Linked DNA regions of Danio rerio. The protein of the gene in region 1 interacts with the protein of each later gene in a biochemical or structural test. Links are inferred from orthologs where the notes say so. Each region holds a gene or a part of one and is shown in the gene's direction. Other genes may lie near its edges. The genes, in order: uba1, ube2s and ube2g1a.

What was found.
Region 2: of the proteins of uba1 (region 1) and ube2s, one has a biochemical effect on the other in vitro, tested with the Homo sapiens proteins (8 studies listed by BioGRID, with this or other methods). The link is inferred for Danio rerio from reciprocal best matches to the Homo sapiens genes UBA1 and UBE2S.
Region 3: of the proteins of uba1 (region 1) and ube2g1a, one has a biochemical effect on the other in vitro, tested with the Homo sapiens proteins (3 studies listed by BioGRID, with this or other methods). The link is inferred for Danio rerio from reciprocal best matches to the Homo sapiens genes UBA1 and UBE2G1.

The regions. Positions count from the first base shown.
Region 1 is NC_133198.1:23,551,146-23,561,770, forward strand, and holds part of uba1 (ubiquitin-like modifier-activating enzyme 1), read left to right. Parts: intron 1-2,187; coding exon 2,188-2,304; intron 2,305-2,470; coding exon 2,471-2,529; intron 2,530-2,630; coding exon 2,631-2,799; intron 2,800-4,241; coding exon 4,242-4,376; intron 4,377-4,525; coding exon 4,526-4,632; intron 4,633-4,718; coding exon 4,719-4,809; intron 4,810-5,006; coding exon 5,007-5,139; intron 5,140-6,523; coding exon 6,524-6,621; intron 6,622-6,702; coding exon 6,703-6,849; intron 6,850-7,650; coding exon 7,651-7,827; intron 7,828-7,932; coding exon 7,933-8,040; intron 8,041-8,152; coding exon 8,153-8,233; intron 8,234-9,331; coding exon 9,332-9,484; intron 9,485-9,600; coding exon 9,601-9,766; intron 9,767-9,846; coding exon 9,847-10,043; intron 10,044-10,625. UniProt on the Homo sapiens protein: Catalyzes the first step in ubiquitin conjugation to mark cellular proteins for degradation through the ubiquitin-proteasome system.
Region 2 is NC_133191.1:14,028,723-14,040,009, reverse strand, and holds the start of ube2s (ubiquitin-conjugating enzyme E2 S), read left to right. Parts: upstream 1-5,765; 5' UTR 5,766-6,245; coding exon 6,246-6,248; intron 6,249-7,377; coding exon 7,378-7,525; intron 7,526-7,620; coding exon 7,621-7,811; intron 7,812-11,287. UniProt on the Homo sapiens protein: Accepts ubiquitin from the E1 complex and catalyzes its covalent attachment to other proteins. Catalyzes 'Lys-11'-linked polyubiquitination.
Region 3 is NC_133180.1:31,604,239-31,614,412, forward strand, and holds ube2g1a (ubiquitin-conjugating enzyme E2 G1a), read left to right. Parts: upstream 1-424; 5' UTR 425-542; coding exon 543-588; exon of another isoform or gene 589-1,114; intron 1,115-1,186; exon of another isoform or gene 1,187-4,196; coding exon 4,197-4,299; intron 4,300-4,707; coding exon 4,708-4,805; intron 4,806-5,435; coding exon 5,436-5,614; intron 5,615-5,713; coding exon 5,714-5,800; 3' UTR 5,801-5,837; intron 5,838-7,518; 3' UTR 7,519-9,022; downstream 9,023-10,174. UniProt on the Homo sapiens protein: Accepts ubiquitin from the E1 complex and catalyzes its covalent attachment to other proteins. In vitro catalyzes 'Lys-48'-, as well as 'Lys-63'-linked polyubiquitination. May be involved in degradation of muscle-specific proteins.

The DNA.
Region 1 (10,625 bases):
TACAAACATTTTTCAATTCCGTTATTTGAGAAATATAAATAGTTTTATTATAATAACTAGCCTTGGTTTTATTAGATGATTAGAGTTTTCTGTGCCCCTCTCAATGACACTGGCTCCACTGCGTTGCTGGCACAATTGATTTGATTCTCTTAAAGGAACTGTCCAGTGCTGAAATATCCATTTATGCATATAAGGGCATAATTCAGCATGATCATTTCTGCTCTCTTCTTGAAATCGCATGCTGAAATTGTACTTTTGCACCAATTTGGCTACATATCAAGATTGAAAACATTTTTGCTGATAAATGTACAATTAGCACAGCTCTTTTTGTGCATGTGCTTAATTATTTCTTCAAATCATCTGTATATTGCTATTGTTGTTTGTTTGCACCTTGTGCCATGTTTCCATCCAAAACTTCAAATTAAATTTGTGCGCAAAACTGGAATATCGCATAGAAGTGCGAATAAAGCAGCATTTCTATCCAACTAGTCAAAGAAAACAAAATAGTCCTTTCCTGATTAACTGGCATCAAATATCAACAGTAAAAACGAATATTGCTGCGTAAATCTTTTCCTTATTAAGTGACTTGCGCCTCAGAAGACAATGTCAGCACGTAACGAAAACGTGGTGGAGTTTGAAGGCATGAGATGCAGAGCACACATGCTCTTGAAAGTTCTGGAGGTAATTAATAACATAATAACACTAATACTGAAAAGCTTAGGGTTGTTTAGAATGACCAAAGTAGCATTTCAGATGCTTTACGATGTGGTCAGCTTGCTGGTTTGTTCGTTCACACACGTTTAACCATCACATGATCTCTTTTAACAAAATAACAACCTTTTTTTTCTGGAATCTTTTCTTGTCAAATAAAATTGATTCTACTCGGTTATGTGCATACATTTTTTATGCGCATTTTCAAAATTGATGGCCATCATGGCGTTTCCGGCAGCTGATTTTTTTTTATTTTGATGCCCATATTCAAAATAGTTTGGATGGAAATGTAGCTACTGGTTTAATTTGTTAGTGAGAGAAACATATGCTTTTGCCAGGCGCCAAAACAATTATGATGAAAAGGATATGAAACCTCTAATAAGATGTTAATTTGATTCTCATTTTTGAAAACAGACTTGTGGTTTTGCCAAATTTAAGGGCCTGTTTACATCTGGTGTTAAGATGCACTTTTGTTGATCCAGCTTCAAGTGGACAATGATAAATAGCAGTGCAAAGTAAGTTCTGAAAGGTTTTAAGCTTGTCCACTTGTAGTTGAATGTGCTCAATCAGGCCACCTATTCTCTGACTACTGCCGTAATTCTTAAACAATATAGGACATGTTGCTGAAGCTCACTAACCATATAAGAATTAAACTTTGCTCTCTGAAATCGGACGTTTGATTTGAAGGTGAAATAAAATGTAAAAAGCATAATGTTTTACAGAATTAGATTATTTTTTACCAGCAAAATTTTGTAGCTGTTAGAGATCTGAAAACCCCATACATACTAGGCATGGGCCAGTATAAGTTCCTGACGTTATGATAACCTTCACGGTATTGTAATTACTGCTCTAAAATAAGTTGTTTTAATTATTTTTTTAAATATCTGGGTATAAAACTAAATCTTTTACCCATTGAAAATTTTATTTTATTTAAGAAACATTTATAATATTTTGGAAACATGTCAGGCTAAATAATTAAAATTATCATTGACTTCTCTCTTCATTTGTTTCATAAGCACAGATTTCTTTACAACACATTTAAAAAAATACTTTATAAAAACCTTAGATATACTTTAGGAATGGTAAAACAGAAAATATTTGCAGTTTTAAATCTTTGACTTTTGCAAACTGCAGGAAACCTTGAAAGCGTTTTTTGTCCCAGGCCCAATACGTACACCTGTTTTAGGAATGGAAAGGAAAGACGGATAAATGTGTTGGCTGTAATTTCTACATTTGTAGACTTGAAACAATTCAATAAAACACATTTTGATGCCAGATGTAAAAGTTTATCTGGAACATTATTATTTTTTTACTGTACAGAGACATTTTGCTTTTAATGACTGTACTTTTTGTTATGAAGTAAACTCGCTTTCAACTCGCATGATGAAATTCATGAAAATTGCTGTTAAAGTAACAGTATTTAGGCACTACTACTCGCACTTTCCTGCGAAAAATATATTTCTTCTTGTTTTCCAGATGTCCAGCTCGCCGCTGTCCAAGAAGCGTCGCGTGTCAGGATCAGAGACGAAGACGGGATCCCATTGCTCCTCCTCTAACTCTGTCAGAACTGAACTGTCACACACACCAGCTAACGTATGTTCAAGTCAATACTTGTTTTGAACACCACTGGGGCTTGAACATATTTAGAGAATTTTATCTTCATTCTTTACTGCGCTTGTGTTTTTTGAAAGGCAGCCAGTTTCATAAGTTATGTGCATGGCTATTTATAGTCTGCTAACTGTGGTTTTGGTCTCTGCAGGGCATGGCTAAGAATGGAAATGATGCTGAGATCGACGAGGGCCTGTACTCCAGACAGCTGTGAGTCTGGCCTGCATTTTAGTTTGATGTATCATAATGTTTTTTTGAGCAAGCAAACCTGATCATGTGAGCAGAAGCTAAATTTAGTATACGTTTCTCAGGTACGTGCTGGGTCATGATGCTATGAAGCGTATGCAGAGCTCTAATGTTCTTATCTCGGGACTGCGAGGTTTAGGGGTAGAGATCGCTAAGAATGTCATTCTGGGTGGAGTCAAAAGCGTCACCCTGCACGATCAGGGAGTGGCCGAGTGGAAGGACCTTTCATCACAGGTCAGTGGTTGGTCATGAGTCATAACTGTAACTGTGTGAAAGCAAAACAGCCCTTGCTGATAGTTTTGTGCGTTGAGTAAGGGGCTAAAATTACGTTTAAAAAAAAAAAGTCTACAAACAACAATTAAATTACACCGTCATTCATAGTTTGGGTTCAGATTTTGAAAGGTTTATTCAAAAATCTGAGTTTGATTTTTATTGTTTTGCTATGAAATGCTGTTCTTTGTATTGAGGAAAATGTATTTTTCCACCAAAAATATTAATCTGCACTATTTTCAGTATTGATATTGACATGTTTTTTTTTTAATAGATAATTACAAAATATGCATTATTTTAAGGATCCTGTGATACTGAAAACAATGAATGCCTGCTGAAAGTTGGGCTTTGCTATCACATGAATTAATGTTTAACAAATATATTTCAATAGAGGAAAATATTATTTAAAAGTTTAATTTGTGAAAGAATTTGTCATTGCATGTGAGAGTGTATGGATGTTTCCCAGTACTGGGTTGCAGGAGGAAGGGCATCCGCTGTGTAAAACATGCTGGATAAGTTGGCAGTTTATTACCCCTTTCTCTTGGCCCTTGAAACAGAGTGTTAAGGGGAAGGGCTTCAAAATTTATCTCTAAGAAATGGGACACCACTACAACACCTGCACACGTCATCATGAGCTCTTGCTTCATATGAGATTGATGAAGGCGACTGCTGTAGTTATACCAGTTGCGTTTTTTTTGTGGTATTTATCTTCAGCATATCATTGAAGGCATATATTATGTTAAAATGATATAATGTAGCAATTAGCTTGTAACTGTACTGTGCTTTTACACCGTGGCCATAATCATCTATGTAAACACGCGCAAACAACATTAACATTATATAAAAGGTCATTCACAGCCACTAGAAATTTCTTACAGGCTGTTCGTGTGTCATCGAGTGACAGAATGTTGTGGGACTGCTATACAGGAGTTAATATTAGGCATTATTGATGCTAAAATTTACTGTGATTTTTATTTTTTAAAGCATGATGGTAAAACTTGAAGGCTGTTATGAATGTATTAAAACGTGTTTGTCGTAAAAATTCGTAATAATGACAAAAAATATGAATTTGTGCATCTCCTGATTCCGGGTGAAGATATGCTGCCATTGTAGAATTGGGATGAAAAAAAAATTAAATGAATGAATAAACGTGTACGTCAGTTCAAAATATTACTGTTATTATTATTATTATTATTATTATATATAGATTTTTTTAAAGGCAATGTTGGTGAGCACAAGAGACTTTTTCTAAAATAATTTTTAAAATCTTACCAAACCCAAACTTTTGTACTGTTCTCTACATAAACAAATGAAAAAAAATCCATATATTGTTTCTGGAAGTGTAAGAATAAACATTAATAATCTACAGTAGTAGAAATACAATTTTGTTTGCTTCATGTTCCTAGTTTTACCTGCGTGAGGAGGATCTTGGGAAGAACCGTGCTGATGTCAGTCAGCCTCGACTGGCAGAACTGAACAGTTATGTGCCTGTAACCTCCTACACTGGCACCCTCACCAATGAATACCTGACCAAATTTCAGGTACTGCTGCTATTGCTCCACTGGACTTTAACTTTGATCTCTTATAAGGATTACAAATTATTTTCTCTAAATGCATATTAAACTTTGCATTATAGCTGAACTGAAGTTTGAAGCTGTTAGCTAATAGGTCTTTGTATGCTTTTGTCCAGGTTGTTGTGCTCACCAACTCTAGTCTTGATGAACAGACACGTATCGGGGAATTTTGCCACAGTAATGGCATCAAGTTGATTGTGGCAGACACACGTGGACTGTTTGGGTATGAATATTTAAAAGATATGACATTTTTTAAGGTTTTTTTTTTCCTCCATGTAACTTTTTCATAAACATTCTGTTATTTAATAGGCAACTGTTCTGTGATTTTGGGGAGGAAATGATAGTATTCGACACAAACGGAGAACAGCCATTGAGCGCCATGATCTCAATGATCACAAAAGTAAGAGCCTGTGTGATTCTACCATTGAGCCTTTTTAATGCAGGATCAAGTAGTTATAGTTATTTGTTAACTTTCTGGCTGATTGAACTTTTTGCTCTCTCTCTCTCTCTCTCTCTCTCTCTCTCTCTCTCTCTCTCTCTCTCTCTCTCTCTCTCTCTCTCTCTCTCTCTGTGTATGTGTAAAATAAATAAATAAAGGACAGCGCTGGTGTGGTTACGTGTCTGGATGAAGCACGGCACGGATTTGAGAGCGGAGACTATGTCACTTTCACAGAAGTGCAGGGCATGACGGAACTTAATGGCTGTGATCCAGTAGAGATCAAGACACTGGGTAAGTTAAAAAAAATAATAAAATGTACAGACCCAGAAACCTTTGAGATCAATCCTTGTCAGCTAAAAATTAAAAAATGTTTGATCAATTCTCAGCCGGTTTGACTCTAAGCCCAGTCGGCTTAACTAAAAAAAAAAAAAAGCAATAATTGTACAGTGCTTGACAGAAAGGTCTGCCTTATGTCCCAGAGGTTGCATAAAAATAAAAAAATGGATAGTTAATGGATTTGTAAGTAAGTATCTTAACACACTAATCTTTTGCCCACTTTGCCCTTGCTAATTTGAAATTCAAGTAATTTTACATACGAGCACAAGAACAGATGAAAGGATTAAATTTTGTTGATGCCTGCTGTATTCTGCTGTTTCTGTATACAAGTTGCAAGCAGGTTTTGTGGATTTTCAGCAGTGAAAATTAAACCACACTGGACTAAACTGAATTTCAACTCTAAAAACTGGACTGACACTGTTTTAATTTACTAGAACATCTATGTTAAGCTGCTTTGACACAATCTACGTTGTGAAAGCACCACAGAAATAAAGATGAATGGAGTTTAGGAGCTTTGTTTCATAACCTTGTATTATGTTTTCTTCTTGCATAGAACAATGCATTCAGAATTAAGCCAATACAATCATTTATTTAAATAGGTAGTTATTCCAGAAAATCAACAAAATTTGTGGACTTTTTAATTGTTTTGTGAAGTAATTAGCTAGTACTAACAGACTAGTAAGTAATAGCTTCACTTTAGATGTTTGCTGTATTCCTGTTTAGCTAGATTTTCTTGGTAGCATTGTATAACCATTTTATGAACATTAAATTACATTACAATGTAATGCTTAACTAAAGGGTAGTTTGTTAGTTATGTCATAGTTTTTTTTTTTCTTTCTTTTCTTTAATCTTTTCTCTCGATCCTCGAATATGGCCATAGATGAGATACTATATTGATAGATACTATTGATAACCGTTGCCTTCAGAATGTTTGGCAAGATAACGGAATGGACTTTTGGAAAGTACTTTAGCTCATTCACTAATTTCCTCTTTCAGTCTGTGAGGCTGTGTCTGTATACCTGCAATTTGACAACCATTTCACATGTTTAAAGTTTTTAAGCTGCTGCTGGTATCTTCTGACTGTTTGACAGCTTTTAACATTTATGCTGGCCTACTTTTTAATATGTAACTGGATCAGCATGAGGCAACACCTGTCAATTGTTTTAGCAACCAATCACATCAAGTTTCTACCCTTCTCCTAAAGAAAGAGAAACTGATGCAAAACCGAAAAGAATGTCTGTAGAATCTGAGGCCTCTTTAAAGAGTTGTGATGTTAACCATACACTGTTTACATTTCCATCTGGTGGGGTGTTTTGTGACTGATGTCTTTTGCATTCAGGTCCTTACACTTTCAGCATCTGTGACACCAGCTCATTCTCTGACTATGTGAGAGGTGGTATTGTCACACAAGTGAAGATGCCCAAGAAGATTGCCTTTGTAAGTTGATTCCCTGGCTGAGATTGTTGATAATAAATTAAATCCCCTGCTGGATTTTAAACGCACTTCTTTCTTCACCAGAAATCCCTGTCCTCCTCCATGGCCGAACCAGAGTTCTTGCTGACTGATTTTGCCAAATTTGATCGTCCAGGCCAACTCCACGTGGGCTTTCAGGCACTGCATGCATTTGAGAAGAAGCACAGTCGTCTGCCAAAGCCCTGGAATCAGGTGAAGACTTTTATTTTGTCTAGCAGTATTTCTAATCATCTAGTGTATTTTCTGGATTAGTCACTTTATAGTGTCAATTGTTTTTTATTTGTTTTGTTTTTTTATCATCTGAAATAGGGTGTGATTTTTATATTCTGAAGTGTATTTTATTTGACTTGCAAATCAAGGTTTGAGTTTATCAATTCTTGATTGTGAGTGTTGCCCTAAATGTTTTACAGTTCACAGTGTTTTCTGCTATAAGTAGTTTAAAATTATTTGTTGTGTAGTCTATTCAGAAAAGAAAAAACAGCGCTCTTTCATGACACACTACTAAATTGTGATCTGTGGGCTAAAGACCCCTGCTTTAGTCTACATAATTTAGTTATATTTGCATGCAGCAAAGTATATTCATCTAGTGGAGACATTTATTTGCCCAAATTTAAATCTGAGAGCATAAAGGGTGAAAAAACAAAAATTGTATCCGAAATCCAACGATCCGAAAATGCGTGAAGTGACAAGTAGTTGACAGGCCCACAGTCATTTGTTAGCAAACATTCTTTACTCTTTATTATTAATTTTTTTTAACTAAGTATATTCACTATAATGCAAGTAATGGAAATCCCATCCCAACTAGCCATCTCTAATTCCACTCTGAACATACTGGGCTGACCAGATTTCTCTGTTCACTTAGTGTTCCACTTCCCAGTCTAATACTTTCAAGAAGTGCACTGTTGAGCTTTAATTCTACGTGAATGCTGTACTGTGGATATCAGGCTCAGTGACTCAGCAGTGATTTTTCTCTCTCTGTCTGTCCTATTGCAGGCAGATGCGGATGAGCTTATGACTCTGGCTGAAGAGGTGAATGCTGCACAGACAGGATCTGCCAAGCAAGAGGAGCTGGACCAGGCAGTCATAAAAAAGCTGGCCTGCGTGGCTGCTGGAGACCTGGCACCCGTCAATGCCTTTATTGGTGGGCTTGCTGCCCAGGAGGTTATGAAGGTAATATGGTCTTCCATTATTGTCTTTGAACTTTAGATCTGTGAGATGCAGCATTGTGATGTGTTAGCCTCACCTATCATGCTTCTTTATTGTTTATCTGCTCAGGCCTGCACAGGGAAGTTTATGCCCATCATGCAGTGGCTGTATTTTGATGCTTTGGAGTGCTTACCTGAGCCTGAGGAAGTCATTCTTACAGAGGAAGAGTGTGCTCCTGTAAGTGCTTTATATTTTTAGCATTTGTTTAATATTTGTGCATTGTTATGGCTCGCTCAAAAGATTGTGGGTTTAAGACAGAATAATTTATTCAGTTATCTGTTTTGTACAGAGGAACTGCCGGTATGACGGCCAGATTGCCGTCTTTGGGTCCAAGCTGCAGGAGCTGTTAGCCAAGCAGAGATATTTTCTGGTGAGAATCTAAAACTGGCTGTTTTTCAAAACTGAATGATTTCTCTATGCCAGATAAGGGACTGCACAATGCCTTGTCACCTTGAAGTTACATTGAACCAAACAAATAGCTTTGAATAGTTTATAACAAAACAAGCAAGTATTTGCTGATCCAAACTTTTTTTATGCATTTATTCCTCAATTATTTAGTGCTTAATTTTTACTAATACAGTCAAAAACTACATTTTAAATGGCTTAGAAAAAATTACAAATATATATTATGGAAAAAGTATTTGAAATGTTTTGGCAAATATTAAATTGAAATACTAAAATTACAGATGAAAGTATGAAAACTATAGAAAAATAACGTATGATAAGGATAAAGCATATTTAAAATTAAAACTGGACATTTAAAAAAAAGCTCATTCAAAACGGTTTGTGCTGAACAAAATGCCAGACAATAACATCAGCCACGTTTTGCTTTCAAACCATTGTAGATTTGTTTTTCATCTCGCTTTTAGTTATTTTAAGCCGCTGTTGTAAATTTGAAGAAGAGACAAACCAGGAGGATTTTTCCAATATCTTCAAAGCAAAATCGTTTTCCGGGCCTTGCTTGAAAGCATCACTAGGCCATTTGTTAGACAAAAGACACAGCCCTGCCTGGAACTGACAATATGCATTATTTTGGAGAAACAATACTGTCTTTTACATATAGGCAGTCTACCTTGATCCCTCAGGATGCATCTTAAAATGTAAAAGCCTAATTTATATATTAAAAGAAACTTGTAATCTTTCACCATCAAACAATATTGAAAAAAATAGTTCATGCTAGATTATTTTTGCCTTTAGTCCACAATTAATTGTTAAACTGAAACTACGAAAATAAAGCTTTATTTTTATTTTTTTTTTTGCTAGACAATAAGCTGAAATATTAATATAAAAAATTAAAACCATTTGTAAAAGTCAATAAATATAAAATTAGACAAATTAAGACTAAAATATTAAAGCAGAGGAAATTGATGCTTCAGCAACAGGTAGTTGTATCATTTACACAAAAAAGAACAAAAACCTCTGCTTTAGCATGTGTTGCGTTCACCTTAGTGACCCTTTCTGTGTTCAGGTTGGTGCTGGAGCCATTGGCTGTGAGCTGCTGAAGAACTTTGCTATGATGGGCTTGGCCAGTGGTGAAGGAGAGGTCATAGTCACTGACATGGACACCATTGAGAAGTCCAATCTCAATCGACAGTTCCTCTTCAGACCCTGGGATGTCACGGTACGATTGACTGACCCATTCTAACACTGAGGAAGGAATTTTGAGAAAAAACAGGATTATAATGCCTTACTTTTGTATAACATCGCTGATGGCTTTGTTCTTCTTTTATCGAGCAGAAGATGAAGAGTGAGACTGCTGCTGCGGCAGTGAAGCAGATGAACCCGTCAGTCCGTATCACTGGTCACCAGAACCGTGTGGGACCGGACACGGAGAAGGTCTATGATGATGACTTTTTTGAATGCCTTGATGGAGTGGCAAATGCTCTTGACAATGTAGATGCCCGTAAGTAAGAGTTTTAAGAAATCGTGCAGCTGCTCACAGTTGAAAATGCATTGCTTGAACATCATGTTTGCTCCTTCCAGGTATGTATATGGATCGGAGGTGTGTGTACTACCGTAAGCCATTGCTGGAGTCTGGTACTCTTGGCACCAAAGGAAACGTGCAGGTGGTCATTCCCTTCATCACAGAGTCCTACAGCTCCAGCCAGGATCCTCCAGAGAAGTCCATTCCTATCTGCACACTCAAGAACTTCCCAAATGCAATCGAACACACCCTACAGGTGACAAGCAATATTGAAATGTTGTCTTGAGCCTTATTCCCAAACTCGATTTAGAAATTTTTTTTTTTTGCCAAATGGGCAGTCTTTTTGAAGTATACACTGGGGTTGCTCTGATTGATTGACTACCAATTACAATTTGTCAGTAATCACTTCTAAAAACTCTATCTGTGATCTCTTCATTTTCCAGTGTCATAAAACCAATGTCATTCTGATCAAATCATTGATGCCAATTCATTCTTTTTCTGGCATGGGTTAAATAATAATTAAAAATTTCTAATTACTGGAATTAATTAATGGAGATCATTTAGTTATTTGTCGATTGTTTTTAATGTAATGTTTATAAAAATAGTTAATGTAATGTATAAAAATGTATATTAGTTTTTTGTATAATCTCTTATTGAATTAAGTTATTTAATATGTTTTTCTATATTGGTCTTGGCATGAAATAATCACAAGTTGCTGATGTGGCAATAAATGAACTTGGAACTATTTTCCTGGTGAATTACAAGTCATACATCTTAATTAATTTTGATAAACTCTTACCCAGACTTAACACCAATGTCACCAGATTTCTCTAGAAAG
Region 2 (11,287 bases), on another chromosome or scaffold:
TCCCGCAAATGCACAGAGACTCCCAGATGCCTAAGTAGATGCCCGCAAATGAATGATAATCTCCCGGAAATCGCGCGTCTCCCGCCCGGTCATTAAACACTTTGCACACCCCTCTCCACCGCATCCCTCCCAGCTCTTCAGGTACGTCGCGCGCAAGTCACCCCCACCGCTCTTTAGGTACGTCGCGCGCAAGTCATCCCATTGTTCTTTAGGTACTCATTTCTCCCGCTACCTCCCGCAAATCAACTCTGTATCCCCCGAAAATTACTTTTCCCAACTCGGGATGTCTGACGTTAGTAAGTTAGGCTATTTCTGTTGTCAGGAACATCTTAGTCAAGCTTTTTCTCCCGCATGATATTGTGCTTAAAACTATAGGCTAAACTTACTGTACACAACATTTCCTTTTTATTAAAGACAATTTAGTGCGTTGTAAACAGCCACCTGTCTGTAAAATTAATCAACTGATTCATATTTGAGCAGCCTAATGATGATACAGGTTTGATTTGTAGATTTATTATCAATAATCAACATCTGAATCAAAAGATATCTGAAAAAGTGTGAGGCATACTTTGTGATGTTCATCTCTCCTTTTATCTGAAGGTTATGCATATGTGTTAGATACTAATTTTTTGTTGTTTTTTTAACAGCCACAGTTCTCTATACAATAACACAAGACCCTGTGACGGTGGCTGATTAGAGACGGATGGTGTATTTCCAGAGTTGGTGAAATTACCAAGCACACCTTCTTGGTCATATGTGGTGATAATAATGAAGGTATGTTTGATAAAGTTCTGTATTTGTTTCACAATAAGCTGAGAGGGTATTAGAGCATTAGAGAATAATGAATGACATGAAGGTGATAAGTTTTGTATTGTGGGTGAACTGTTATTTAAATAATGTTTTGCTCTTTACTTTGCACTTTTCCTCTTCTGCTTATCCTAATATTTTAGGTTATATTTGGACCTGAAACATCTGCTAGACTCCAGTAAAGGTGGCCTCAATACTGGACCTGAAAGGGCCTAACAAGTTGAATCTGGTAAAGAAACACGCACACACACACACGCACGCACACGCTTACAGAAAACTGTTGTTTATGAAGTTTATGAATATTTTTTACACTGTGGCCAATATTTTGGGGAAGTCAGCATCACTAAATGATATAAAAGATTTTAAGCTCCTCTAAATTTTGCTCCAAGTGTTGTGTTAAATTCAGGATTCTGGACAGACAGCTGCCTGTTTTTCCAGTTCTAGTCATAGTGGTTAACCTAATTGTTTTTGGAGATCCAACAGTGATATATGTGTTTTTTCTACTTTTCCATATCCTGTCACATCAACCAGCTGGGAGAGTCAAGTTGTGGATCATCATGAAGATTTTCAAAAGGTGAGTTTAGATTTCTTGAATGTTTTATTTACTTTAAATGTTCTTTTAAATATATCATAGAATTTGATTGCAGTTTGTTTTCAAACATTTTTCTTAGTCATGCTGGAGTCTTGAAGAGTTCTTGGATAAGCATCACCCTATATCCGTGCATCAGGAACCACCAGACGAGCGATCAGCAGCTGATACATCGTCATGGATAAAAAGGTCATCCTGTGGCTGGGAAGCACTTCATTCACAGGACATGCTTGATGAGATTTCCTAGCTCCAGTTTGTTTTCACACAAGTTTACAGCATTTATACCTTCATTTAAACTGCTGTGTTTAATATGGAGGACCAAGGAAACACCAGAAGTGAAAGATTTGCACGCCAAGTTGTTTAAAATGTAATTTCAGAAGAAAACTATGAGTTCAGAAGTAAACTATGAGTGACGATATATTGAACTTTCAAATTGCTCTGATAACACATCAAGTTTGGACCAAAGGACTGAAACAGCCTTTTTGAGCACTGGTCATACATATTTTGTTGATACTGTCTGTACTAATAAAACATTTAAAGCATATTTGACATTGTTGCATTTTAAAAACTGAATGAATTGTTGAAGTGGTGAATGTTTTCAAATAAAATGTTTTTTCTTTTGTAATTTACAGTCTATTTGACCTTTTTACCATATTTACACTCAAGAGAGTTGAATAAAATAACAATATATTACACCAGGCAGTGTTAAATATAGTTAAATTTTTTAACTCTGCCCAGAGTTAAAATTAACCCTTACTTCGGTGTCAATGTGCCAACCCTTTTGAAAGTGTTGATTTAACTTTGTTTTGAGTGGACCCCATGAGACACTTTCAAAGTGTTGAAATTAACACCCATAGAGTTGTTTTGGGTCCCCATATTTTGCTGTGTATGTTGTCCAATATAAACTTATTATATTGTGGACACATGCTTTTTAACTGCTAAAAACAGAACATATAGAAGACTAAAAAGAAGAGCAGCAATAATCTCAGAACAATGTGTAGCCTTAGTGTTCTTCCCAAAGTTAGACTGACAGATAAACTCTTTCCAAGACGTGAGATTGTGGAAGAATGCTGCTTTATTTTTATGCCACATTGAGTATGTTGAAACTGAGTGAAACTATGTAAAAGATGTACATAAATAGTTATCTATGCATACCAATAATATCTGAGATAGAATATAAACACAAACAGATGATAAACTTACAGACAATGCATCTGCAGATGACCACAGGATGAGTGGATTGTAAGATGTTCTTGTAAGATGTTCTTTTTTAAATAAGGCAAATAACTGATTCTGTCAGAATGTTTCTATGGCAACAACAATTTTAAAGAAGCTAAATGATTAGGCATTAACTAATGGATTCTAAATACTGATATTTAGTAAATGATCCAGCATACTTAGCCTTTGAGTGCTCTCTGGCGGCCGTCTTGAAATACTGCAACATTATTATTTTTTGAGTTTTTTTTCTTTTTATATCCAGCTGCATTTCAGCAATTCATTTCTTTCATTTCATAGTAAGGCATTTCCGTTTTCCTTATAACGACAAAATTAATTTATTAATGAATAAAACTATTAGTTGCAATCTGGGCTGCATCCAAAGCTTTTTAATAGGCTCACCGAACCCCACCCCTATACCATCACAGTGACGTCACTCGTTACATTTGAGTGCAGTGTCTGACACTGCATCGCTGAGGCATGCAATCTCAGCTTGCATCATAAAGGCTGCATCCAGATACTATTGGCTATTTTACATTCAACCCAACTCAACTCACTTTATTGTCACAACAGCATTTACGGATGAGCGATGCGTGAGAGGATTTTACATGGTCCATATACATTGCAGCTTACATATAAACAGTAATTCAGAGACATTTGACATAAAGGAATGCTACTATACACTCTTTAAACGTATATAGCCTGCAAAATACAGCACTGGCAACAGAACCAGTAACAATATTTATGACAACATAAATGTCAGGGAAAATGTCTTCATTACAGTAGTAAGTATATGTTCATCTCAAAAACCTAAAGTTTTGTGTGTATACACACAAAGAAAGAGAGAAATTTGTAAACAGAATTGAGCCCATTTAACTGATTTTTTACTTATGTAAACGTGTAAATACATATTTGTTGAGTGTTTCATATTTCATATTTGAAATGGAGTCATATTTTCTCTGTCTTTCAGCCAAATTAATCAATAAATAATATGCAAATATAAAATAAATTTGTAAATAAAGATTCAAATAAATAAATGTATATATAAATCCTCAATTTCATGCATAAATAAATATTTAAATAAATAATAGTGTGGGCAGAAAACAATTAAATAAATTACATGAGTGTTGGGGGAATGAGAAAATGCTAAACAGAAAGTTCTGTACTTTTCCTCAGGTCAACATGCATTTTCTTATTCCCCCAACATTTGTGTAATTTATTTTTGCAGGTTTCATCCTCAATAATATGATAGACCTCCGGTAGTTTTGTTAACAAAACAAGTGTTTCCAACTAGATTTTTTTACTGTAAAACTTACTTACAAATTAAGAAAAAAATATCATTAAGATTTCAGCTCATATAGTCTCCATATAATTGTTTATAAGTAAAAACAGACCAATTAATATCAAACTACAGATTTGTGTCCAGCACCATATACTGCAAACAAAGAATATAAATAATAGTTAATAAAGTACGTTCTTTTCTTATTTTGCATTAACATTATTATTTTTGTGCTGCAAACAGCAGTTGTACTAATTGAAATGTAGTTTTGTGTATATTTCAGGCATGGGACGAAAACCGTTTTTAAGGTATACTGTGGTTTGGAACAGTTGTTCAGATGTTCTGCTATACTGTTCCTACAGTATGTAAGATTTTTGTTTTACTTTTTTGTTTTTGTTTTTTGTACAACAGTACCTCCAGCAGAAAAGATATCCAAAGATGCAATTTTAAATTGTATATAAATCTGTGATTTAATGAATTATTTAATCTGACATGTTTACTGTTCCAAAATATTTTAAATGTTTCTCAAAATAAAATATGTTTGTTCCAAATTTTATTTTATTTTTTTTAAACCAGACATTTAAAAAGAACATGTTTTGGAGCCACAATACCATGATATTTTGAAACCGTGCAACTATGCAGTGACATTTTAGGGTAGTTACTGTCCCTGAAAAAAATGTTTTATTTTCCAAGATTAAATTTCAGTCGAAGGAGAACTTATTAAACTATAAGAAAAATATACAGGTGCAGCTAAGGATATTACGGTTTATCATTTTTTACAGAATTTTCACATGTAACACAGGCTAAATGTCCCCATTACAGAAAATTCTCATATCTTTTAGAAGGTGTTTCAAATAAATAGTTTATGTAATATTTACATTTTCTAGGAGCTAAAATGTTTTTCACTTTACCAATAGTATAGTATAGCAATAGTATTTTTTAAAGGTATTACTAAACAAGAATTATCTCAAAAAAGACTTGTTATATGGCACTTTGTAAATGTAATGTATTTCGAGACTGCAATGCCATTAAATCCTGTTGGTTAGTTCTTTGGATGCAAGTAACCAAAAAACATTTGTAATGTGTATTGATTTTATTTATTACCATGAAAAAACTATATAGTTAGACAGGAGTAACAAGGTGGACATTATAATAAGTGCTACGCTTTGTTTTACTCTCTATTGTCAGCACTTTCAACTGTTTTAAAGTGTTTTATAAATGAAATTGAAATTAAATAAGAAATAAGGTAAATTGTTTGCCACACCCTCGTTCGATTATCAATAACAAAATGATGGCAACTGAATTATCAAAAAAAAAAAAAAAAAAAAAAAGCCAAATAAAAAACAAGGAATATTTGACATTTTATACAGAATGCAGGAAAAAAAATAAAAAAGTAAAAACAGTGAAATCATTACATGTTGTTAAAATATTACATAAAATAAAATAAAAATTATGTAGCTTTTTAATCATTAATTGTTGAGTGAGTAAAACTGTATTTTAAGGCAAATTAATCTTTAGTTTAACTCAATCTTTCAGAATTCTTCCATCGTGATCTGCACTAGAAGAAACCAATTACAGTAATAAAAAACCTCTAAAGTTTTTCTTATATTTCTTTCTGCGTCTTTCATTGGATGTCGATTTGAAGCCACACATCAGTCCCTGCCTCTGGGAGGGCAGGAGTTTTTCAAACGCACCTATTAGCAAACAGCATCTTTCGCATTCTCAACTTTCTCTGGTCGAAGTGGTTTCCAAGGCCAGCTACGTCAGCACAACCCGTGCTTCTGATTGGTCAAAACGCTTTAATTGTTGAGCACGTGAAGTCCTTCTCACATTCTGATTGGTTAAACGTATTTCGAACTGCTGCTTAGACGAATTGTATTTTTGTTCCGTGTCAAAGACTGCTAGCTGATAACAGGCTACAGTAGCCGTCAGCAGCAGCAGACTAGCTATCAAACAAATCAATTACCGCAGACGAAATTAACACCACGTTGGATTTAAAAAATCTTTACACGAGATATTTGATCTGAAGACAACGTCGCATTGAAGTTTCACAAAAGGCAGCTCTGGAGAATAGCTAGCTATCCCACAGTTAGCCTAGCCTGGTTTGATAGCAGCACTAGCAAGCCGACCGACATCACAGTGAAAATTGGTTTTGGTTATTTATATAATAGTCAGGCGTCTTGGAATACTTTGCTATCTTTGATTGGTTGCAACTTTTAGATTCGTTATCGTTTTGTTCCGTCAGTCCGGTTACAGATCACCGAATCCGTCAAATCGGCCGGTTGAGTGTCAGTTCTGCTAAGTTCTCCTTTGGGACAAATTTGCTGCCGATTAAAAAATCCAGCACGCCTAAAAATGGTAGGTTCAATTATGTATTGTTTACGAGTGATTCATCAAACTGATTACAACAACAACAACAAAACAGCTTTACTGTTTATTTGTCTTACTTTTTAGTCGTTCAGCTTGTTTTGAGAGACTCTTTACAGTAATGTGATTTAAACTCAAATATGCTTTGATTGTTAAATTGACAGTAATTATAAGCACTGTATTATGCAGCATTAATATTTTTTTACGAACGTTTGTTAACAAAAGGCTTTTTAACTTTTTCTCGCGTTAATGCATCACTAATGTCGAATTGTGTGGCATTTGTCATACTTTTTGTAATAAAGCATTATATTAAAGTAACTGGGTAATTATTACTTTATCCTAACTAAAAGTTCCGAAAAATATAATTTATTGTTAAGTGCTTGATTACCAGACGATACAAGCTCAGTATGATATACGTCGCACAATTGTTCCACTTTTTTTCTTCGTGTTTTTGCTTTTTAATTAAATAAATGTGTATTTTATTGTGGATAAATGAACGAAATTCCACCTATTTTTGTTGTTTGGTGAAGCAGATGTGCTAGGCTCTTGTTTTTTTCCATTATATTATTTATTTTGATTTATTACATTTGTTTATTTGTTTATTTTAATAGTAGTGATACTATCAAATAACTGCTTGCTTACTGTATGTGGTTTCAAATGAAATTATTACTCCATCATTATTGTTTTTATTACTATTACCATTAATAATAATAACTAATGTTAGCGTGATTTTTGAAGGATCATGTCACTCTGGAGACTAAAATAATAAAGCTGAAATTTCATCATTAAAATCACTAGAATAAATTATTAAATTATGAATTACTTTTGAACGGTTATTTTACAGTGCAATAACATTTCACAATTATGTAATTTGTTCTGTATTTTTGATTAAACAAATGCAGCCTTGGTGAGCCACATGAGCTTATTTTAAATCATTGAAAAATCCTACTGATCCCAAAATCTTCACCCGTAATGTATGTATTATGTATCAAGTTTATGAACTTGTATAGGCTAAAGTTTCTTAAAATTAATAATTTTGTATTATTTTCTAAATAAAAAGTTTTCCCCACCATTTTTTAAATTTTGCAATTTGTTACATTTGACATTTTATTGTGTGCAGAATTCAAATGTGGAGAACTTGCCGCCTCAAGTGTTGAGACTCGTCTATAAAGAAGTTTCAGCTTTAGCAGCAGATCCTCCTGAGGGGATCAAAATCTACCCCAGTGAAGAGGACATCACAGAGCTGCACACTTCCATTGAGGGCCCAGGCAAGTAGAGATTATCACAGTTTCCTCTTCTCAATGAAAGCCGTGATCTAATCATTGCACTTGCAACTTGTTTTCCCCCGTCTTCTGCTCAACAGAAGGAACTCCATATGCAGGTGGTGTGTTCCGGATGCGTTTGGTGCTTGGGAAGGACTTTCCTGCCGTTCCTCCCAGAGGCTATTTCCTCACAAAGATTTTCCATCCTAATGTTGGGCACAAGGGTGAGATCTGTGTCAATGTACTCAAGAGAGACTGGAAAGCAGAGCTGGGCTTGAGACATGTATTGTTGGTAAGTAATATTTTATTCTTTCTGAAGTTCTTTCAAACATTGACTAAATTTTTTTTCCCTTTTGTTTCATGGTCAGAAATTCCCTAAAACAGGGGTGTCCAAACTCAGTCCAGGCAGGTGTGTTTAGGGAAGGCCCTCCAGTACCGAGTTTGGACACCCCTGCCCTAAAATATAAGGTTCTGCAACATCTTAGATTTACCAGTTGAATTAATAAATCTAAACTGTAATTAAATATGTGCGTGTACATGGACATACAGTGCCCAGTATATGAGTACACCCCTCACAAATCTTTTTAATGTTTTCTATAGGATGCTTTACAATATTGTATTTGTACATATACATTTGATTATTCAGTACTGAAGCAAAATCTGGAGCTAATCTAAAAAAATAACTTAAGGTAGCAGTCCAAAAATTAGTAGCCCTAATCTATATGTTTAGGGAAAAATCTAAAATCAAAATTAAAGAATGAAGAAAATCAAAAGAAACAAAAAATATATATTTAATTAATATAATTAACAAATTGTAAATTGTGTAGTTTGTAATTTGTTTGTTTTTTCCAATATTTTGCATGAATTTAATGTGTTATCTTTCTATTTCTAAAGATGTTCAGTCACTAAAATATTATTTAATAAATATATACGTTTAATCAATCTGTTTTGCTGAAATGAAATCACTTTCAAAACCCCTTTTACTATCTTTCTGAATGAAATGCCTACTTTACTACATCCATTCAGCTTGCAGCAGAAAAAACAAGCCATGCCCACTGTTTTCTCATTTAATATACTGAGTCACAATATAAAAATAAAAGTTGCAGCAGCTTCCTGTTCATTGTGGACTTTAGTCCATAATCTAATCCAGATCAGTTTAGAAGGACAATTTGATCCCAGTTCTGCTAGCTACACTTCATAAAGCTTCATTTATAAATAAAAATTAAATAGTTTACCATCAAAACAGTCCAATAAACCAGTACAGTAAAACCTAGGGTATTATTGTATTCAAATTAATGAAGTGGCTTTGCTTTTAAAAGTCAGCTTCTGAAAAAAGTGTTAAGCCCTATGTATAATTGGGAATCGGTATTGAATAAATTTGCTAAATAAATCTGGATTGGCCATGTAAAAAAAAAACAAGATCAGTGCATCACTCATTCATATAGTCATTTATGCAGTTTTGCTGTGATAATTTACATTTACATGCAATAAACTGTTAATTTACTGTTTATTTTACTTAGATTTGATCTATTCTGTTTTTATATGCTTGTAATTCATTATGTTTTATGGATCCTGGTTCCCTCCCCTTGCCAAATCATGCCAATCAATCAAAATGAATCAATTATTTTTCAAATAGAGATATTCAAGTCATTTGGTGAAATTTTAGTCATGTCGCAATTTATATCGCAGAAAGCAAATGTGTACTACAGTTGAAACCAGAATTATTAAACCCTCTGAATTGTTTAATTCCCCTCCCCCCTATTTCTGTTTAAAGGAGAGAAGATTTTTTTCAACACATTTCTAAACATAATTGTTTTACTAACTTATTTCAATAACTGATTTATTTTATCTTAGCCATGATGACAGTAAATAATATTTGGCTAGATAGTCTTCAAGACACTTCTATACAGCTTAAAGTGGCATTTAAAGGTTTAACTAGATTAATTAGCTTAACTAGGCAGGTTAGGGTAATTAGGCAAGTTATTGTGTAACGATGGTTTGTTTTGTAGACTATCAAAAAAAGAATAGCTTTAAGGGGATAATAGTTTTGACCTTAAGATGGTTTTTAAAAAATTAAAAACTGCTTTTATTGTAGCTGAAATAAAACAAATAAGACTTTCTCCAGACGAAAAAATATCAGACATACTGTGAAAATCTCTTTGCTCTGTTAAACATCATTTAGCAACTATTTAAAAAAGAAAAAAAAAAAAAAAAAAGCAGCTCTAATTGTTACTCATTTAGAAACTCTCACTTGAAATTACTATGTAGAGCTGCACGATTCTGGCTAAAATGAGAATCGCGATTTATTTATTTATTTTTGCTCAAAATAAAGATCACGATTTTCTCACGATTCTGTAGATGTAAAATAAAGGAATGGTAAAACAATATAGCACAACATCAATAATAATATTGTGTGTAGGTCTACTGGTTTTTATAAATAATTCTATTCTACTTATAATAATTCTGATGTTGAATTAATATGTTTGAGATATATGCTTGCAATCTGTCATATTAGACAAATTTATTCACTGGTAAAATCAGACATTTGCCATTATCAGATTATATTCAACAATATATAGGCTAGAGTAGTTATACTGACATTGTAAACATTTATTTTCATGCACAACTGTGGGGTCGCTATGAAAGAAAAAAAAAACATATCAAATGCTTGCAGTAATCATAACTCTAAAATGCGATATGATCATTTAAATGAAGTGCACACTTTCGGTTTTATTTTGACTGCTAAGTGCTTGTTCATACTACGCGCGCTGCTCCCAAACGATCACTCTGTGCCACAAACTGAATATTATTTACATGTTGCATTACTGATTATTATTTACCTGTTACTCGCATCATATGCAGGTTCTGTTCACTAAATTATCATTAAGTAGAGCGTGCGTGCGCCCTCTCTGTGATAACAGCTCACGGTCAGCAGCTCGTCACGTGTGATTTCCCGGCCGCGAAAACATCATTATATGAAAACAAAAATGACATTTTTAGGTGAATCATACCTTATAAATACATTATGTGACTCATTCAACATCATTTGGAGGTGTCAATGTGACTGAGCAACGTGTGTGAAACAATGAAAAGACTCGTGCAGCCGCCTTTTCTTCTCTTCTGAACTTAAAAATATGATTGGCAGAATTGTAGATCTCCAATCGAGATCGCGATCTTTCAACGATTAATTGTGCAGCTCTATTACTATGCTTTTATATGTAAAATCACAATTTAATTTGATACAGACACTAAACTGGGCTATCTTTATATCCATGTGTATGTATAGTTTAAAATCTGGGGTTGTAGTTAGTTCCATCAATTATGACAAAATTTGTTCAAACTAATAATATTGTTGCATTAGTTTTATTCATTTAAATGGCAAAGATAATTTTTCAGTAGCCATAAGTTTTATTCTAAGTCGATCTTGATTTTTATTGTTTACCCTTGATGAGATAACTGTCATTTACTCTCCCTTCACTTGTTTCAAACCTGTTTGAGTTTCTCACATTTGAATACAAAAGAAGATATTTTAAAGAAAGCTGGAAACCTGTAACCATTGACTGTAATCTTATCGTAGATGTCAATGGTTTGAGGATTTTAAGCTTTCATCAAAACACCTTTGAGTGTTCAACAGAATAAATAATCTCTTTTAAAATAACAGAACTTTGTGTGGTGTGGCGCTATTATAAGCCTTATTCTGTCATATTATGTTTTAGAGCATTTTTTTCCTTACTTGGAGAAATAAAACTCAAACACAGCACAGTTCAT
Region 3 (10,174 bases), on another chromosome or scaffold:
CAACCAAGACGTTAAAGTGTCATGAACGGTTATGAGAGCTGTGTGTAAGTGGATGATTCTCATAAGGATCGCCTCTATCACACATTTTGACTTTTATTATTACGCTGTACTGTCTCCTAGTGGTTGAATGACACTGTACTGTCCTCAACAATCAATTTTCTCTAATAAAAATGGCACTTGCGAAAAGAAAAAGCAATAATAAATGTATGATTACAGATTTTCGCTATAACGAGACAATTGATTAGACTCACCTACAACGTCACTAAAGTGATAACATAATTAATCTCGCAGTCAATGCCATCGCCGTTTGTTAAAAAACAAGCATATTTGTTTCTGACATGCGCGAATCCTCCGCCCATAAGTACCCTGGAGCACACTCTCGCCGCGGCCTCGCGGAGAGCAGAGCGCATGCGCATACCGCATCAGAATGTTGAGCAAAACGGACTAGAACAGAGACGGGAAGACGCGCAAGCAAATTCAAACATATTTTTTCTCCTTGTCGAGGTGAACGTCTGTCGACCTAGAATATAACTTATAAAAACATGACGGAGCCCCAGTCAGCACTGTTACTCAGGAGACAGCTAGCAGGTAATATTTGAAGGCTGTTGGCGAAGGCAGGCTAACAAACCGGTGAACGTTTTAGCCAGCCAGTACACCCGAGACGGAGCATTTTAGCCGTTAGCCGCTAGTTTAGCCGCTAACAAGCGCTGTGTTTATCATACAGCATTAGTTAGCATGTTAGCAGCTAAAATAGCCGGCTAAAGGCAAGCCCCGTCGTCTTTTGTTATTTTAAAATGCTAGTTTTGTACTACTCTTGCTAAAATATCAACATGAGAGTTTTTCTAACATAATTAAAACAACAATACGCGCACGTTTGTTTAGTGTTATTCGGTTTATTCATGTCAACATAAGTGTCAGTCACTTTTTTCCGTATCACACCGGCGGGGCCGCTCTCGATCGGCTACCCCCGTGTTTTGACATCTGTGTCCGGACGCAGTTTCCGCAAGAGAACCAGTCATCTTATAAATGGAGGAAAAGTCTGTCATTGGTCCAATTTCTGCTCACTGTCTTATCGTTGTCCGTCAAACCAATAGTATTATCGCACGGTTTAAAGGTGAGATTTATAAGCCGTATATTGTGTGCCATTACCCCGCATCGGGTTGATCAAATCCCTTTGTTTTTCTAGGCTGGCTAGCAGGCTAAAGCTAACAAATTGATGGCTGCTGTTTGATCACCAGCTCACCGGTACAGCGAGAACTGGAGACCCATAGTCTCTGTCACCATAGACCTGTGCGGGAAATTGGCTCTTATTAGAGTCGTTATGAGTGTTTCCTATTGTTCTATGCCCAGCACACACACACTGAGCAATATGATCCGCGAGTGTCAGCTTTACTGAGCTCAACCAGAGGAGGATTTCTCCACTGGGCCCCATTTGCGCAGTGCAGCCAGTGAAGTGAGTTAGTTATAGGGGTCAAACTAGGCAGATTACCTGAGTTTGGGGGTCTGATGAGATCAATTAAAAAGCAAAACAACAGATCTGCTACATGACAGCTGTCTCTTTGCCACAGACAGCTCAAGCAACCCCATCCCCCCAAATTACTCATCTTACACACACATAAAAGCAACTCGCTTGTTTCTTTCCAAGGGTCGCAGGGTGAGCGGCACCCCGGGCCTGTCATGGCGTCAGGTTCTGCAGAGGCCCTGCGCTTGATTGACTGATTCAGGGGGTCAGGGGCTGTTTTGGTTGTCTCCTTTCAGAAGAACCAGCATGGTGAACTCATCAGCCTTGATCTAAACTCAGTGAACCCTTCGTGAGAACAAAAGCCTCACAACGTTCATTAATGTTGGCCCGTAAAAGATACGGGCCAGGAAAATGCGGGCACAACTTGTGTGATGTTAATGCCATGTGTAGAGAGGTTTTTTTTAGAAATCACTCAAAAATTACCTTTAATTTTTTACCCACCCCAAGCTATTAAACATGTTTTGAGACTTTAAGTTGAAAAAAAATTAAGGTTTTGGGTAAAAACATTGCAGCGTCTACTAGAGCCGTGTGATTAATCGAAATCTAATTGCAGTCACCATTTGAAATGTTGCGATTAGCTAATCACAAGAGGCTGTAATATGAAGATATATTTGTATATTTTTAATTCATTTATTTCCCGTCCAGAGCAAACGCGTGACTGCGTTTTTGTGACAGTCTTACTAGACAAATTAGTGAGCACAATTGAGTGATGAGTGTCTTGCTAAAAAGTCAATTGAAAGTATTGCCAGGGACACTCAATTTAGTAGCAAGCAACAGCATAGTACAACTGCAGAGTTGTTTCAGACATGTTAGTTTGCTGAGTGTTTTTTTTTTATTATTTATTATTATTGTTTGTATAGTACGCTACACTATCTCGCTAACTTAAGTTGAACTTGTTTACAGAAAGTTAAGGTCATTTGATTTACTGTTCTATCTTTGCATACTGTTTCATCTTTTTGTTTACTTTTTGTCCTGGGAGAGAGGTTGGCTTTTCTAGAGAAAAATTTGTGTTTAATTTCTAAATATTTAAAAATAAATTTGATTAAGTAAGTTAATATCTTTTCTGTTTCTTTTTTTTTTTTTAAATAACGCTCACTGCATTTTTCCTGAAAATTTAATACAACTACCAAATGGTTTAGTTGAACCCTGTTCACTAGCATTAGATGAAGAGTTGTTTCCTTTTCCCCAAAACCTTGGCTGAAGAAAGTCAGTCATACACTGGTTGAATGGACTGCAGGATAGTAAATAAATTATGTATTTTTTTGCCTTCAGATAATGTTCTGTTATTAAAAGCACTACTGTTATGTCACTTTATGCGCATGCTTTTGTAACTTGTGGGTTTTCTTTGCCTGTCAAGCTTTTTAACATACATTGACAGGAAATTCTCTGAAAGTGATTCCAATGATATTGTATATCTGTGGTGTTATTGTTAAATCTGCTGTGTGGACATCTCTCTTCTAATTGAATTTGAAGGGTTGGTAAACCTTTCTAGTAGTGGCTGTCATCCATTCTTGGTTTGAACAGCCCTTTATGCTATTTGTGTGATTGTTGCTTAGGGCTGGTCGATATGGCAAAACTGCAATCTTGATAATTATTTTGCATATTGAATGATAACGATGTATATTGCGATACCAGTTGTTAATGCTTCCAGATTTAAAAGAGTATTCCAGCAATGACTGAAGCCACAAAAATTAGAGGGTCTATTAAATGGCATAGCATATTTTCAGCCGATACTTTTTCAGTGGCAGAAAATTTTGGGACATCTCTAACATCAACACACTTTTAGATTCTCGTTGTTGCACATTTCTGTTGTGTGATTGGCTCTTAGATCAATATAGAGTAAAAAGTCCAAAGCTTATCATTGTTATTGACACAAACTTCATCGCAATTTGATATAATACAGTTTATTGGCCCAGCCCTAGTGTTGCTATAATAACACTTCAGCACTCTTATATTGGAAGTAGGTTTGTTGAAAATACAATTGAGTCATTTAATAACCATCAGATAGTGGTAAAAAGGTGGCTTTGACAGAAGAGACTCTTCATATGAATGCCAGACTGTCTTAGTGATTCATGTGCAAAAATGACACATCCATATGACTGGATAACCCAACTGTCATCTTGTTTATGACTACAAGGTGGTCATGCAGTCAACCTCCAGATATTCTGTTGTGCTCCTTCTTGCAAACACACAGAAGTTCAGAGTATCTGAACAAACAGACAGGCGTTCTGTGACTAAAGAGTCGCTCAGCTGATCTGATAACAGACAGGCAAATTGGTCATTTCTTGTCTGAAATGTTGCCCAGATGTAGGTCTAACTATCAGAACTCATGTGAAGGCATGTATGCACCTACTGCCCTGAAATGCCCCAATTTGCCCTTTGAGTAGTTCCATGCAATTGTCAACCAAAGTTTTCACCAAAATAGCCAAAAGTATGATCACATTCATAAACCTCATGTTTATTTTCCTCATTTAAAATATGTTTACAGATTGATATTTTCTGAGCCCATGACACTGTGGTTGGTTGTTTTGTAAAATATAAACCGATGTTTCAATATAATATTAACTCATACTTTCTCTGTGAATTTGTTTTACGTTTTTACTGCAAATGTCACATCTATAACACTTTTCTGTACAAAGTGGCTAATTTGTACCTTGATGTCTCTTCCTGACAGAACTGAATAAAAATCCTGTGGAAGGTTTCTCAGCCGGTTTGATAGATGATAATGACCTCTACAGATGGGAAGTACTAATAATTGGTCCTCCTGATACACTCTAGTAAGTCTTTTTGTTGTTTTATAAAATGTTATGTTGTGTGACACCTCACCAAAATTAAATTATTATCAATCAGCTAAAGAATTAGATGATGCAAAATGTAAATTGACATTATTTACTTGTGTAGAGCTACAGTATAGGTATTCTCACAATCTAAGATGGGTCAGGTCAAGTTTATTTCTTGATCTTATACAATCTACAATGCGCCAAAGCTTTATTACATGGTAATACACAGTGTATCAGGCAGGTAGCAGTGCAGTTGTAGTATTAAGTCATGATGCAATGGGAAATTAACTGAATAAGTTTATGTATTTGTTGTGATGCCATACTGAATCAATTTAAGCTGTTGCCTTTCATTTAAAGGTTGTTCAATCACAGTATTATAAGCCTTTTATATTTTTCTGTTTACAGTGAGGGTGGTGTCTTTAAAGCCCATCTTACATTTCCCAAAGACTATCCTCTCAGGCCTCCTAAAATGAAGTTCATTACAGAAATATGGCATCCAAATGGTAAGTTTGCCTCCTAGGGTCTTTTAAATATTTAATATATTTTAATTATTTATACTTTTTTACTATTTTGTCAGCCATACATTTAATATCGTTGAATAAATACACAATTTTTTGTGTTTTTTTTTTTTTAGTTGGTTGGAGGGATGGGTTGCAGATTTCCAAAAAAAATCAAATATGAATTGTTCTTATAAATCCTTTTGAATCTCTGGCTGATATGGAAACTGTTTCGAATTTACACTGACAGACTTCGTTATAAATTCATCCGCATGCAGGTTTTTGTTTGTTGATTCCATTTGCAGCATTGTGGATATTTTTGATCCACTTAGGAAATATCTAATAATCTGCCAAACCTAAATACTGACATGCTCTTTATTAGGCTAATAATGACATGAGTTTTTTTTTTTTTTTGTCATTTTGTACAACATTTTAAGTTCTATATGTTTCTGAAACATTTACATTTTATTATTTGCTAGCTATTATAGTCATGTAATAATCCTTCAGCCACAATACTTATCTTTATATAATATTACTATGTTAATTAAATGATCATCATCAGCAAACAAAAATGGTTAATGTGGTATATAATCCACATTAAAATCTCATGTCCTGTCTCTGTATTGTTCTGCACAGTTGACAAGAATGGTGATGTTTGTATTTCGATATTGCACGAACCCGGGGAGGATAAATATGGCTATGAGAAACCAGAAGAGCGCTGGCTCCCCATCCATACTGTAGAGACCATCATGATTAGCGTCATCTCTATGCTAGCAGACCCCAATGGAGACTCCCCTGCCAATGTTGATGCAGCAGTAAGTATAACGTTAACTTGTAAAACCAGATATGATTGCATGTTGGCAGAAGATCTTTACTTCATGTGTTAATTCATTTTTATCTGTTCAACATTTCAGAAAGAGTGGAGGGAAGACAGACATGGTGAATTCAAAAGAAAAGTTGCCCGCTGTGTAAGAAAGAGCCAAGAGACTGCCTTCGAGTGATATACATCTAGCAGCTTGTAGCTTCACTATTTTCAGGGTAAGCAAGTGGACTTTTGGCATCTTATTTGACTGCCAATGTCTTGTGAACTTTTTTTTTTTATTTCCTCAACATGTCTGAAACAAACTGAACATTCATCGTCCAAGAAAAAGTTTATTCACACTCATTGTTTTTTTTAATCTGTGACTATTTCTTATTTTTATATTTAAAAGGGGAAACACACTTTAAAGTTGTTAACTGCATATGTTTGCGCACTATATAAATAGTCAAAGTATTACAGTTTTTGCTGAATTGTAAAATATTAAAATCATACAATTGCCATACTGCCCCACCTTCCTATACAGCTCTAATCCTCTCCAAGCAGGACTTTTTGTCAGACTTTGCAGAGATCTGTTGTGGTAATGTCAACCTGTTAGAACAGGTTCATGAAACTTGTTTAAAGTAGAGGTTCAGATCTAAAGATTATTAGGTAACAACAGTGGCTCTGTTGTCTGCTTAGCCTTTTATTGGTAGTCTTTTAGGGGCCGGTCACACCAAATGTGCTTTTCAGTTCCGTAAACGCAAGGTGCACCACACTGCCTTTTGCTTACTTGAGAAAAGAGCAGTGCGCTAGGCTGGATATGTTCTTTATGTTGCTAGACGACCACTCTATCAATGGTCTTCAGGCTGGAGCGCAAGTTTGCTTTTGGACAAATGCAGGGTGCGTAAAAAGCATGCAATATGCTTACTGCCAATAGAAAACTTTTTTTTTTTTTTTTTTAAGTGCATCTCGCCACAAAAAATGTTTAGTGTGGTAGTCATCTTTTAAGACTTGTTTATAGATGGTCAGTTTATTTGTATGCTCATCAAAGCTCACAAACCAGTAGTGTTGTTAAATTCTATCAAGTATGTTAAAAAACTTTTCTGTTTTAATTTGTTTTAAAATTGTTTGGCAAAGCTGAATATTCAGTAGCCATTAGTCCTGTTTTTAGTGTCACATGATTTTTCCGAAATCCATTCTAATATACTGATTTACAATAGGGAACTCCTATCAGGATGCTCATTACCCTATACTGATATGACAGCTGTTTGCATTAATTTTCAGTGAACTATGTGTTGCTGCTCCATCTGAAAGCACGTGGAAATACTTTATTTAAGACTATGTTTTTAGTTTTATTAGTTTCTGTTTCTTGTATCCAATATGTGACTAACAACAAAAACAAACAAAAATGATGACCCCCCCCCCCCCCCCCCCCCCCCCCCCCCCCCCAAATGATTCGCATAGGCTACACATAAATTGGGCCGAGAAGCTAGTCTGCTTGTGGAAAGCTTCCATTCCAATCATGGAAACTGGTTCTTGTGTTTTACATTGTCATATTTTGATTGGTTTTTGCGATTGGCTACATTTTGTAATCATTATCAGCTGATCAATAGGAGCTTTCTAATTGTTCAAAAGCGTTTAAAAGAACAGCATTGATTTAAAACTTTTTTACTGTAACTTTTGTTTAATCTTATGCATGATGAATAGAAGTGTTGATTCTTTTCAAACTTTTGATGGCTTTAGGCTTTTGAACCAGCGTGTGCTTTTAAGTTGTGTTTCTAGAGAATAAAATCTAAGCTGAAGCTGAAATGTATCTGTCGCTTGTTTTGACAGGCGACAGGCCCAAATCAATTGAAATAAACGTGGTGATTGTTCTGACATTTGAACCCTCTCTAATATCGCTGTTGGTGTCTTTTACAGGTCTCCAGTTGAGAAACAACATGGCACTGTTTTCTTGCACTCTACCACCCTATTGCTGGACTGGTTTTCATTGAATGTTGGCAGTAACAGACTGGCATTAATAGGCTGCAATAGAACATAAGGCCATCACCGATGCTGACAGAACACACCAAGCAAGTGCCAACAAAAAAAGAGAAAAATACAACTTCAAAACAATTACGCTTTTTTTTTTTTCTTTTTTTTTCTTTTTTTTTTTTCAAGTTTATGAACTGATACAACTTTTCAGGAAGAGATTGTAAAGATGTGTACATAGCACAGACATAAGAACCGGATAATATATAATAACTTGTTCCTATCCATCCAGCAAGACTTAGTACCAAATAAAAATAGCAGTTCTGTAGTTAGAGTGTGACATCATGTAAAGTTTCTCGAAGAGTCTAGTTCATCTCCCCCTCCTGCCACCTCACAGGTGCGACTGCCTGTCGGTTTGAACAAAAGTCTGCTTTGGCTATTCTCACTCCTTGCGGTTTAAGGTGGCGAAGGCAGGGGTAAGCTATGGTTAGGATTCAAAGCATGCACGTGATGTTGGACAGCTTTCTCACTCGGGACACTTCAGGTAAAAATAGCTGTAAAGCACGGTCATTTTCTTAAGAATTAGGGGTCATGAAGGTCCTTCTCTGATTTGGTTTTTAAATAGGGTGGGTGGGGGTTGCTCTTACTTTGGATGACTGCTTTCTGAGTGTCAGATTCTCACCTTTGCTTTTTTTTTTTTTTTGTCCATTTGAGGCGGGGAGGAAATGGCAAGGAAACCCATCAGATGTGATTTTCTTCTTTTTCCTGCATGTTTTAAGTTTTTCTTTCCTGTTTTTTTTTTTTTTTTTCAAAAGTGCCTCCAATTTAAATCGCTTGGCTCATTACATGCCCTGCATCAAATGGGAGCTAAAGGGAGGAACGTGATTTAAAAACTGCTCAACATCCTCTCAAGCTTGTGTGAATGTGTGAGGTTTATTTTTCTTCATAACCTTCTTACCAGCATTCTGGATTCTTTTGGTGTAGCAATAACTCTGCTTTGCCCACTTTGTGCGGACATCTCAAATTGGACATTCATGTAAGATTTCTAGTAAAGATTCTCCCCTTTATCAGAGCAGTTTTTTTCATGCTTGACATCTTTTGTGTGGTTTCTTTGATAGGTTTCTTAGCCATGCTTTAAATGTAGATTTCTTGCAGACGTTTTCTGGGATTTCAGATGTGTGTTTAAGGGAGATTGAGTAAAATTGTCATGAAGAGGCGTGTGTGTGCGTGTGAATGTGTGTGTGTGTGTGTGTGTGTGTGTGTGTGTGTGCATGCCTGTGTCCCACTCTCTTCCCACAATCTTTAGTTCTCTGGTTAATTTTATTCTGGCTCTGACAGACTACTGCATTTCTTTTGCCTAATGTACAAAGACAAAATACCGATGTATATTTTTCATGTTATGGAAATTGTCACCTCTAGTAAGTTCTTCTAAAATATAATTTTTTTCCAATACTTTGAGTGTGGTGTCTGTGTTCAGTTCAGTGTTACCACAAACACATTCATATGCATTCATTTATATCAGCATAACTATAAATGTATGCTGTTGATTAGAAATATTCTCATGAAAATGTACATTTTGGATAAACCTCTGGTGATGAAGTGTATCAATGATTCTGAAACATAAACCCTGCTATTTTAGTAGTTTTATAGCAGTATTTTTGTGGTTTTAGTAGCTTATTTGTAATTTTTATGGCTTATTTGGTTTTAGTTGTTATAGTTGGTGTTTTTATACACTTTTTTTTATTTACAGTAGATGTATACACTAAAACCCAACAGTCAACTTAATCAAATGAAATGAGTGTAGTTAACTCAGTTTACTGAGTTATTTGTACTCATTTGAAAAGAGTTTTGAACTCTGTGTTAAGGGTAATGAGAATTAAATACCTCATTAAATTAAAAATATTAAATAATGGAGTAAGTTCACAGTACTCGTATAGATAAGTTTATTAACTCAAATGGTTTGTAGCAACCGGTTTCCTTAAATAGTTTGAGTTGCTTTAACTTATTGGGTTTTACAGTACTCTGTTGGTTTGAGTTCTCTTCATTTATTGGGTTTTACTGTGCTCAAATCGCTTCGTTTACTCAAATGGATCAAGTTCACAGTACTCATGAGGACTCGTTTTTTAACTAAAATGGTTCTTGCTATTGGTTTCCTCGAATGGTTGAAGTTAACTTTTTGGTTTTACATTGCATTACCTGACTTGATTATTTCACTTGCTTATCCAGTTTTTATTTCTAATAGAACGAAATTTCAGAAAACATTTTTTCCTCTAACAATAACACGAATTAGGACAATGTGAATTTAAAAGCAATCCCAAGAAAACAATCAGATTAATCAAAGAAACAACAATGATCGCATATAGGTATATTGAGGTTTTTAAATACATTAACACACTAAAGCTTATTTTAGAAAGGGTTTTGGGGATATTCGCCAAATAAGGCATCATAGAACAATTTTGATGAACCAGATTGGCTGTATACTTAGATAATAGCAATATTAACGACACCATGTGTTTGTTGATATTGTTGGTAATGTAAGATTAATAAAATCTGTAATTTACAAACGCAAAGCATCTTGAGCAGTTCCCGCACGCTCCTCCCAAAT